Ovis aries: one gene and its partner. The protein of the gene in region 1 interacts with the protein of each later gene in a pairwise test. Links are inferred from orthologs where the notes say so. Each region holds a gene or a part of one and is shown on either strand. Other genes may lie near its edges. The genes, in order: TRIM21 and USP15.

What was found.
Region 2: the proteins of TRIM21 (region 1) and USP15 interact in binary tests that used the Homo sapiens proteins (3 or more experiments, as listed by UniProt). The link is inferred for Ovis aries from reciprocal best matches to the Homo sapiens genes TRIM21 and USP15.

What each region holds. Positions count from the first base shown.
Region 1 is NC_056068.1:49,582,562-49,586,360, reverse strand, and holds the end of TRIM21 (E3 ubiquitin-protein ligase TRIM21), read right to left. Parts: intron 3,641-3,799; coding exon 3,540-3,640; intron 3,245-3,539; coding exon 2,706-3,244; 3' UTR 768-2,705; downstream 1-767. UniProt on the Homo sapiens protein: E3 ubiquitin-protein ligase whose activity is dependent on E2 enzymes, UBE2D1, UBE2D2, UBE2E1 and UBE2E2.
Region 2 is NC_056056.1:157,401,709-157,406,199, reverse strand, and holds the start of USP15 (ubiquitin carboxyl-terminal hydrolase 15), read left to right. Parts: upstream 1-1,466; 5' UTR 1,467-1,477; coding exon 1,478-1,566; intron 1,567-4,491. UniProt on the Homo sapiens protein: Hydrolase that removes conjugated ubiquitin from target proteins and regulates various pathways such as the TGF-beta receptor signaling, NF-kappa-B and RNF41/NRDP1-PRKN pathways.

The DNA of each region.
Region 1 (3,799 bases):
GCTTGTTTATCTTTAAAACTTTGCTATAATAATTTCTGCTTCTTCTATCAATATATCAAAAGGAAGTTGTGGTATCAAAGGCGATCAAAAAGCCAAGAGACCTTATTTGAATTGTAAAGGATAATATTAATCAAAGTTAGAAATTGGTGCTGGTAAATCTCTCATTTCTCAAGAGAATTAACAAAGTTTTTTGAAGCATAGTTGATTTACAGTGCTGTGTTAGTTTCAGGTGAATGGCCAAGTGATTCAGTTATACATGCACATGTGTCTATGCTTTTTTGTATTCTTTTCCAAGTTAATACAAAATATTGAATATAGTTTTCTGTGCTATACAGTAGGTTCTCGGTTATATATTTTATATAAGGTAGTGTATATATGTTAATCCTAAACTCCTAATTTATCTCTTCCAACCCCCTTTTCTTCTTTAATAACCATGTTTGTTTTCTACATCTGTTTCATATACAAGGTCATTTATATCATTTTTTAAAGATTTCACATATAAGTGTTATCATATGATACTTGTCTTTTTCTGGCTTACTTCACTTAGTATGATAATCTTATGTGTGATTACATAATCTTATGTGTGATTACATACACTCTTCTGGAGTGTACCTGGATCACTTATTAGTAATTATTGGTGGGGATAAAAGTTGAGATACTATGAAACCTCTACTATTTAATTCTTTTTGGTGGAGATGCAGGGGATGGCAGTATGTCCTCTGTGTAATATATCTGCAAACATCAAGGTAACCCAATATGCCAAGGTATTCAGATTTTGAGAAATAAAAATTTATTTAAGTTTATATCATTTTGGCAGTGTCCTCATATCAGCATATCAACTGAACGGGAAAAAAACACACCATCAATTACATTGGCCCCCCGCAAAGCAGAGAAGTAGAAAAGCTGATTTTATAATCTACCCTTCTAATAAAAAATATTTCTTTTTGACCCATGTTGGATATACAGAAATCCAACCCTTTCCCAGCACATCCCATTCATGATGAATTGAATTCTCCATATTCTCTCTAGTGCATCAACCAAAGCACTGGTCACCTTTGGCAACTTACATTGAGTTAGCTCTGTGATGTTGTCTCTTGCCTGAGGATTCTGCTGTTGCTATCTTTCCATCAAAGTACCTTCTTTCTGTCCAATGTTAAGAGAGACCTAAAAACAACAGCTTTTTTTGAGGTCACTGACATCTTTGTGTAGTATCTAAGTTTTTCATGAAATATTTAGCATATGTGCTAAGGGCAATCTGAGATTCTATTTTAGATAAGGAATCACATTTCCTGGAAGGACAGTGGCTCTCAGGCAGCCTGCTGATGTTCACATGTAGAACTTCATTGTGTCAACTTAAAAAGTTTAAATTCAACAAAAGTGTGTGCTGAAATCAGGTGATGCTGTTACCCCCTTCCTGGCCTTCACACCAGTTAGGATTCAACTGGTAGAGAACAGGAAATAAATATTATGAGATTTGCTTATGGTAAGAAATTCACTTATACATCTGGGAGGGCTGGCAAGACAAGTCATAAAATCCACAGGGCAGATTATCCAGGAAGGTGAAGTTCAGACTCTTGGGCATGAGTTGAAGCTGCTATTCACAAGTGGACTATCTTCTTCACAGGAGTCTCAGATCCACCCTTAGACTTCCACCTGATTGAACATTAGGCCCACCCACCTTATCTAGGACAACCTCCCTTATTTAAAATCAAATCATTATGGACTTTGATGACATCTACAAAAATACCTTCATAGCAACAATCTAGATTAGTGTTTGATTGAAAACCTGGGGGCTTATAGCCTAGGCAAGTTGGTCTATCAAAAAACTATCACACTGGCCATTTATGTTGATACGTTCTTTAACCAACACCACTATCAACAAGATGTGGTTGGGAGATAACAGTGGAAATGAGGGATCACAGCTGGTTAGATATTTAACACAGCAACCTAAGGTCTGCTTAATTCAGCCTTTATTTTAAAAGTTAATGCCTGTTTTCCTATAGGCACTGTGAAGCCACTCTTGATCAGATGCATGTTGGGAAGATAAACCTTGAGGTATACAAGATAGGAATGATGGGATAGATTGAGACCAATTTATTTAGGAAGTCCTGTGCAAGATACATGGGACTTCCCTGGTGGCTCAGATGGTAAAGCGTCTGCCTACAATGCGGGAGACCCAGGTTCAATCCCTGGGTTGGGAAGATCCTCTGCAGAAGGAAATGGCAACCCACTCCAGTACTCTTGCCTAGAAAATCCCATGGACAGAGGAGCCTGGTAGGTTACAGTCCATGGGGTTGTAAAGAGTTGGACACGACTGAGTGACTTCACTTTCACTTTGCAAGATACATAGTAGAGACTGGACCAAAAGCCTAGAGATGGAGAGGAAAAAGCAAAACTTGAGTCACATGAAGGCAGAAACATGCTTTAGTTGATCCAGATGAGTTTGGGGGCCAAATGCAAGTAGTTTGTTTCATGGAGGAAATCATAAAGCAACATAGGGCAGGAATCCTGGTGCTGTAGGTCATTTGACATAGACCGTGGGTGACCTTGGTGCCAGTTTGCCTGTGGCATCCTGATACATCTGCAGAGACGAAGGTGGTTTGCAGTTCATGGGCACATGAGACAGGGCCACTGGCTGAGGAGTGGAACCAACAGAGGGGTTGCTTGTGTCCAGAGAGAATCATCTAGATCCCTACCAGCAGGTCTTAAAGTGGACAGAGGATCAGAGGGGCTGAGTTTTTTCCTCTATCATTGAAACCAGGATTGAAGAAGGGCCGCAGAGGTCCAGCAAAGGCACATTCAGAGAAGGTGTAGATGAGGGAGCCATGGTCAGTGATGTTGTAGAAAGAGACAGTGCTGGCCTCATAATCTAGGAAGATCCCAATTCGGCTTGGAGGCACCTGAAGGTGGAGGGGAGTCTGGGGGCAGGTGCCAGCCTCATATTTTTGTTTGTTCCACAGCCAGATTATCCAGAAGCCATTGTCAGAGTTGAGCAAAAACTGCCCCTTCCTCCTCACATTGTCTCTACAAACACCCAGGTCCCAGGCTTCCTTTCCCGTCACATCTACTTCCCAGTAAACTTTTCCGGAGTCAAAGCGCTGGGCACCCAGTACCATGGGGTAAGTATCAAATCTCTCCTCATTTTCAGGCACGTCCTGCCGGGTGTTTGCAAGCCTCACTTGTCTCCGATTCTCCGAAAGGATGAGCCATGGATTGGCTGTCTGTGGATCCAGGGTGATGTGTACTGCAGAGAGAGGGCCACAGTCAGGCTGGGAGAGTGTGCAGAGTCAGCAACCCTGTGCCAGTGGTGGGGGGATGAGGATGAAGGGGTGACCCTGAGCCTCACTGTGTGAGGAGATGACTCCTAGCCAACTCTGACCCCTGCCATGACCTTTGAGGGAACCACCTTCCCTATTTCTGCACCTGCCCCACCTACTCTAACCGGCCATCTCTCTCCAACCCAGGGATGCACTGGGCACCCTCCTTATCCCCTTCACTCCCTTGGCAAGCCAGTCCCATACCCCTGGTGCTGGCCCCACCTCCACACGTCCTCAGCATCTTCTTAATCCCGGGCACATAGAATACATTCCTCAGGTCTGTGGAGGCGACATCCACCTCCTTCAGGTTCCATGATTCACTCCTGGGGGAAAAAGAATTAGAGACCCTGTCTCCAACTCCTACCTCATCCTGCCCAAATCCGATGGTTATACCACCCTTGTGGATGACTGATAATGTAATCTGATGCAAATTTGCAAACAGCTCCTGTGTTAGGGGGGCTTCCCAGGTGATGCACTGGTAA
Region 2 (4,491 bases), on another chromosome or scaffold:
GCTGTTTTCAGACTTTCAAATCAAGGATGCAAGAATACAAAATAGTATTACTTCAAAAAAAAAAAGCAATCCTAATGCTGATACACACAAATTATACTACCCTGACTTGGAAGGGTTCAACACTTATTAGTATATTACACCCATTTTCTGCATTCCCACCAAATGAGTTAGCATAGAGGCTGAAAATTAAACGAGAGATCATGCTGGAATTCTTATCCATCCTTTAGACTTTTCACATCATGTTATCTTACAGTCAAATCGCTGGACATCTTCATGCTTGGAATTACTTACGCAGTTTTGCCACAATTCATTTCTGAAACACATATTTAGGTCATTCTTGTTAGGCAGCACTAGGTGTACAAAGCGCTAGCCACTAGATGTACAAAGGGGTTGTTTTTTGTTTGTTTTAAATGAATTAGTGCAGCCTAGTTTCTATGTTAGTTTAGGCTTTCGTGGGGTCGCAAAGAGTCGGACACGACTGAGCTGAGCTGAAGGAGTGGTAATTAGTGTACTATACTGGACAGCGAGCCAGTGTGCACGTGAAGCTGGATTATAAACTGGCCTCTCCACTTGCTGTGTGACCTTGGCATTTGATTGTTGAGACTCGATTTTCCCCTTTTTGACATAATCGGCTTCAACTAATTGCTGGTATTAGCTACTTTCAAGTGCACACACCATGGGAAGGTGTGGCTAGGAATACGTCACTTCACAGTATCTAGGAGAATGGGTTTCTTGCCTGTTTTGGCTCCTTTACTTTAGTACCTGGCACTATTCGATACATATTTTACACCTTGTTCACCGAGGAACTGGAACATGTTTTTCACTGCAGCTTAGCTATCTGGGTGTGCCTGGGGAGGCGTCACAAAGAGCCTATAAAAGGTCTCCACCTACAGCAGGAGTAGGAGCGCAAGAAAGCCCAGAAAGAGCGCTGCGGCTAAGCGTTCGGCTTCGGGTCGCTAGATTTGGCCCAATCTTCACCGAGTTTAGGTTCTGAGACTCGCAACGGAGAGACTCGAGTCACAGACCTGTTACAAATTTTCTGCCATATTTCAGCCGTCCCCACGCCCCCCGCCCCGCCCCACCCTCAAGCGTGAGTGAATGCGCAAATAAGGGTTTTCAGGCGTCTGTGGGAAAGACGGAGGGGACGGCAGAAGGCAGGATGGACAGGGCGGTGGCACCGCTCAAATGAGCCAGGATCCAGGCCCCACAGCAGAAAGTTAAAACCAGGCGTTCCCGGGTCGTAGGAGGCCGAGGCGAGCTGCTGGACGGGCGGGGGCCGATGCGAGGCAGCCGACCACGGCGGAGCACTCACTCCGCCCGGGGCCAACGCCGGTCCGGAGGCGCACCCCCCCCCCCGCCTTACGTCTCGTTTGGTTTCGACCTGCCGACTGGGAGGGGCCGCGGGACGCCATTCCCACAATGCTCTGGGGCGTGCCGCCGCCGTCGCTGCCGCCTCCGCTGCCGCTAGTGGAAGAAGATGGCGGAAGGCGGAGCGGCAGATCTGGACATCCAGCGGTCTGACATCGCGACGCTGCTCAAAACCTCGCTCCGGAAAGGGGACACCTGGTGAGGGAAAGAGGTTGAGGTGGCTGCGGTTGCCCGAAGATGGTGGGGGACTCGGTGGGAACTGCGGGCTGGTGTCTCGCTGGTGACAGGTGCGGGCAGGTCCGGCGGCGGCCGCCTCAGGCAGCAGGATTTTGGCCGCTTCCGCAAGGTTGGGGCAAAGACTGGACCCGAAATGAGGGCCACGGTTCATGGCTCGTCGAGGCATGCTGAAAGGCTTGCGGGGAGCGGCGGCGGCGGCTCGTGCGGTTCTCCTTGTCCTTCTTCCTCTGGTTGTGCCGCTCCCACTTCAGGCCTTCCCGAACGATAGGTTACTCTCGTTCAGTGTGAGACTCTCACTTAATGTTTGACAGGTCCTGGTCTCGCGGCTAATCACGATCTCACCCGCTTCACTTCTTTAGTCATTTCCTTTCCCTGCATTGTCGGCATCCAAGTTCCCCTATTCTGATTCTCGTATTCTTCCGGGAGGCCGGCTGCAGGATGTTTGCGGTTCTTACTACACAGGTGGCATGTGTCAGGGCGCCGCTTAAGAGAAAGGAACCTAGTTCCTAGTTCCTTGTCAAAAGGAGGGAGAGGAGTACTGAACCTTAGGCTTCTGAGTGGTACCACGTGGTCTTGTGCTTTAGTGGAGGCTTGATAGACGCCAGCAGCGTTTCTCTTAGAAGTGCAGTCCTTCCCTCTCACTGGAAGGATAAGTTAGGCCTGCAAGAAGTAGATAAGTCCACTTGAAGCTTCAGTCACTTGCTAACATTCAAACTTATAAAATACCAAGGGATATACTTAAAATATCGAAGGAAGTATTTGTAGATTTTAATATTTGTGGGCCATATCAAGTGGTAATCAAAATAACTTAAGTATGTGAATATGTAACCTAAAATGCTCTGTTTCATTAGGAAGGATCATGTGCTTCTTTATTATAATAAAAGTTATTTTCACTTTTCCATCGTCACCATAACAGTTGTGTATAATATGCAGCGTGTTTTTTCATTTCCTCATTATGGCTTAGTGGAAGGAGGGTAAGATTTAGACTCGTTAGGTTAGCCTTTCCACCACTTAGCTTGCAGTGTGACTTTGAGGAAAGTTAATTCAAATTGCATCTCAATGATTTCATCTACGAAATGGACAGAATAATTTCATTTAGGGGTTTATCCTGATTCAGTGAAATAGTCTACAAGATTTTCTGCCTTGATATAACATTAAGTTTTAGTTACCTTCTTATCACCACCATTTCTGTTAAAATGCTGTGGTATTAGAATCATTGTCAAGTAAGCTAGAATCACTGTCAAGTAAGCTAGTAGATGACAGACTTGGGACTTGAATTTAAATACTTTGGTCCAAGTTTTGGTACTTTTTCTTATTTTGTTAGGCCACACTGTAAGTTTTATATGATTAAAAATCCCTGAGTGTAAACATATACGTGTTGGATTACAGCAAAAAATATGGTTTAATAATCATTTTGTTCATAAGGGAGTGTTCCTATGATGTTAATTACTGGGGAAATTGGACATTTCCTAGGACATTTTTATTTACCTTTTCCTGTGAATTGTAAAAAATGAAATCAATCCTTCTTCTTGTTTGTTAAAGAACATTTTAACATTCTTAATTTACCTTGCCTAATACCACCTTATACAAAGGTAAATGTGGATTTTCATGAAATACAAGTCTACAATTTAATATATTTGTTGATGTTCAGTCGCTAAGTTGTGTCTGACTCTTTGTGACTCCATGGACTCTAGTGCGGCAGGCTTCCCTGTCCTTCTCTGTCTCCTGGAGTTTGCTCTAACTCATGTTCATTGAGTTGGTGATGCTATTTAATTTAATATATAGATATTACTTTTATGTATATTACTCCTTGTTACTGTTGTTGTGGTTTTGATATACTGAGTAATAATTGGTGGTGTTAACCATAAAGGATGACCAAAGCAGTATGGATATTGTGACCATTAAAGTTTAGCATTTTTATTTTTGACAAAGTTACTGTAAATCATTTTAAAGATCTGTTGATATTTATAAGAGTAAATACAGGAAGTTCATAAATTTGAGGCATTTTAGTGCTTCCATCTTAAAAGAAAACTGAGGCCCAGACATTTAATTAACAGCAGAATATGCAAACTTTTATCCTCACAATTGATTTCCCCTCTCATTTACAGGAAAAAAATACAGGAAAAGATGGTACTGGGATGCTCCAGAAACTAATTTGGTTTATATGTGAGCCAGTTTACTTGGAATTAGCAAGTGAAACCTATCAAAAAAGGAATTAGCAAAAGTTTAATTCAGAATTTTAAGGAGAATAATTTAAGTATGAATTTGATAATGTGTTCATGAGTACAGAATTCGTAAAGATATTTAATGGTTTAGTTGTCGCTTAGGTTCATGTTTTTGGTACTCATTAAAACTTGTTAAACAGTTATTTCTCTTTTTAAAGTCTTAAAAAAGCCTTGGGTTAGTCATTTATGGGTGGGCAAATTATGTTTGTTTTTTAATAGCTGAAATGGGCCGTATGCAAATGAAACATTTTCTTGGCATATGTATGTTACCAACTTGAAAAGACTGATTGGACTATTAAGAAAAAATGATAGATTTACCATGAGTTTATTCTTGAAATGTTAATAGTAACATTTCATGTTATAGTCAAATACATTCAAGTAAGTAAAGATCATTAATTAGGTTGTGAGCACTTTGCAGAAAAGGACTGCCTCTTACTACTCTGGTAATTAATGCTAACACCTGGCCAAGGATACAGATTTGCTTCTATGTGGATACTAGAATTTCTGTTTATTTGTAAATAGTGGATGATTTTTATCTGGCAACTAACTTTCTAGAGATGAAAATAAGCTACACATGTCTGAGATGAGAAACAAACCTTATGATATGTTTGGTATTAAATTTTGTGGTGACAAAAATGTCAAAATTGATGTAAAAGAGAGA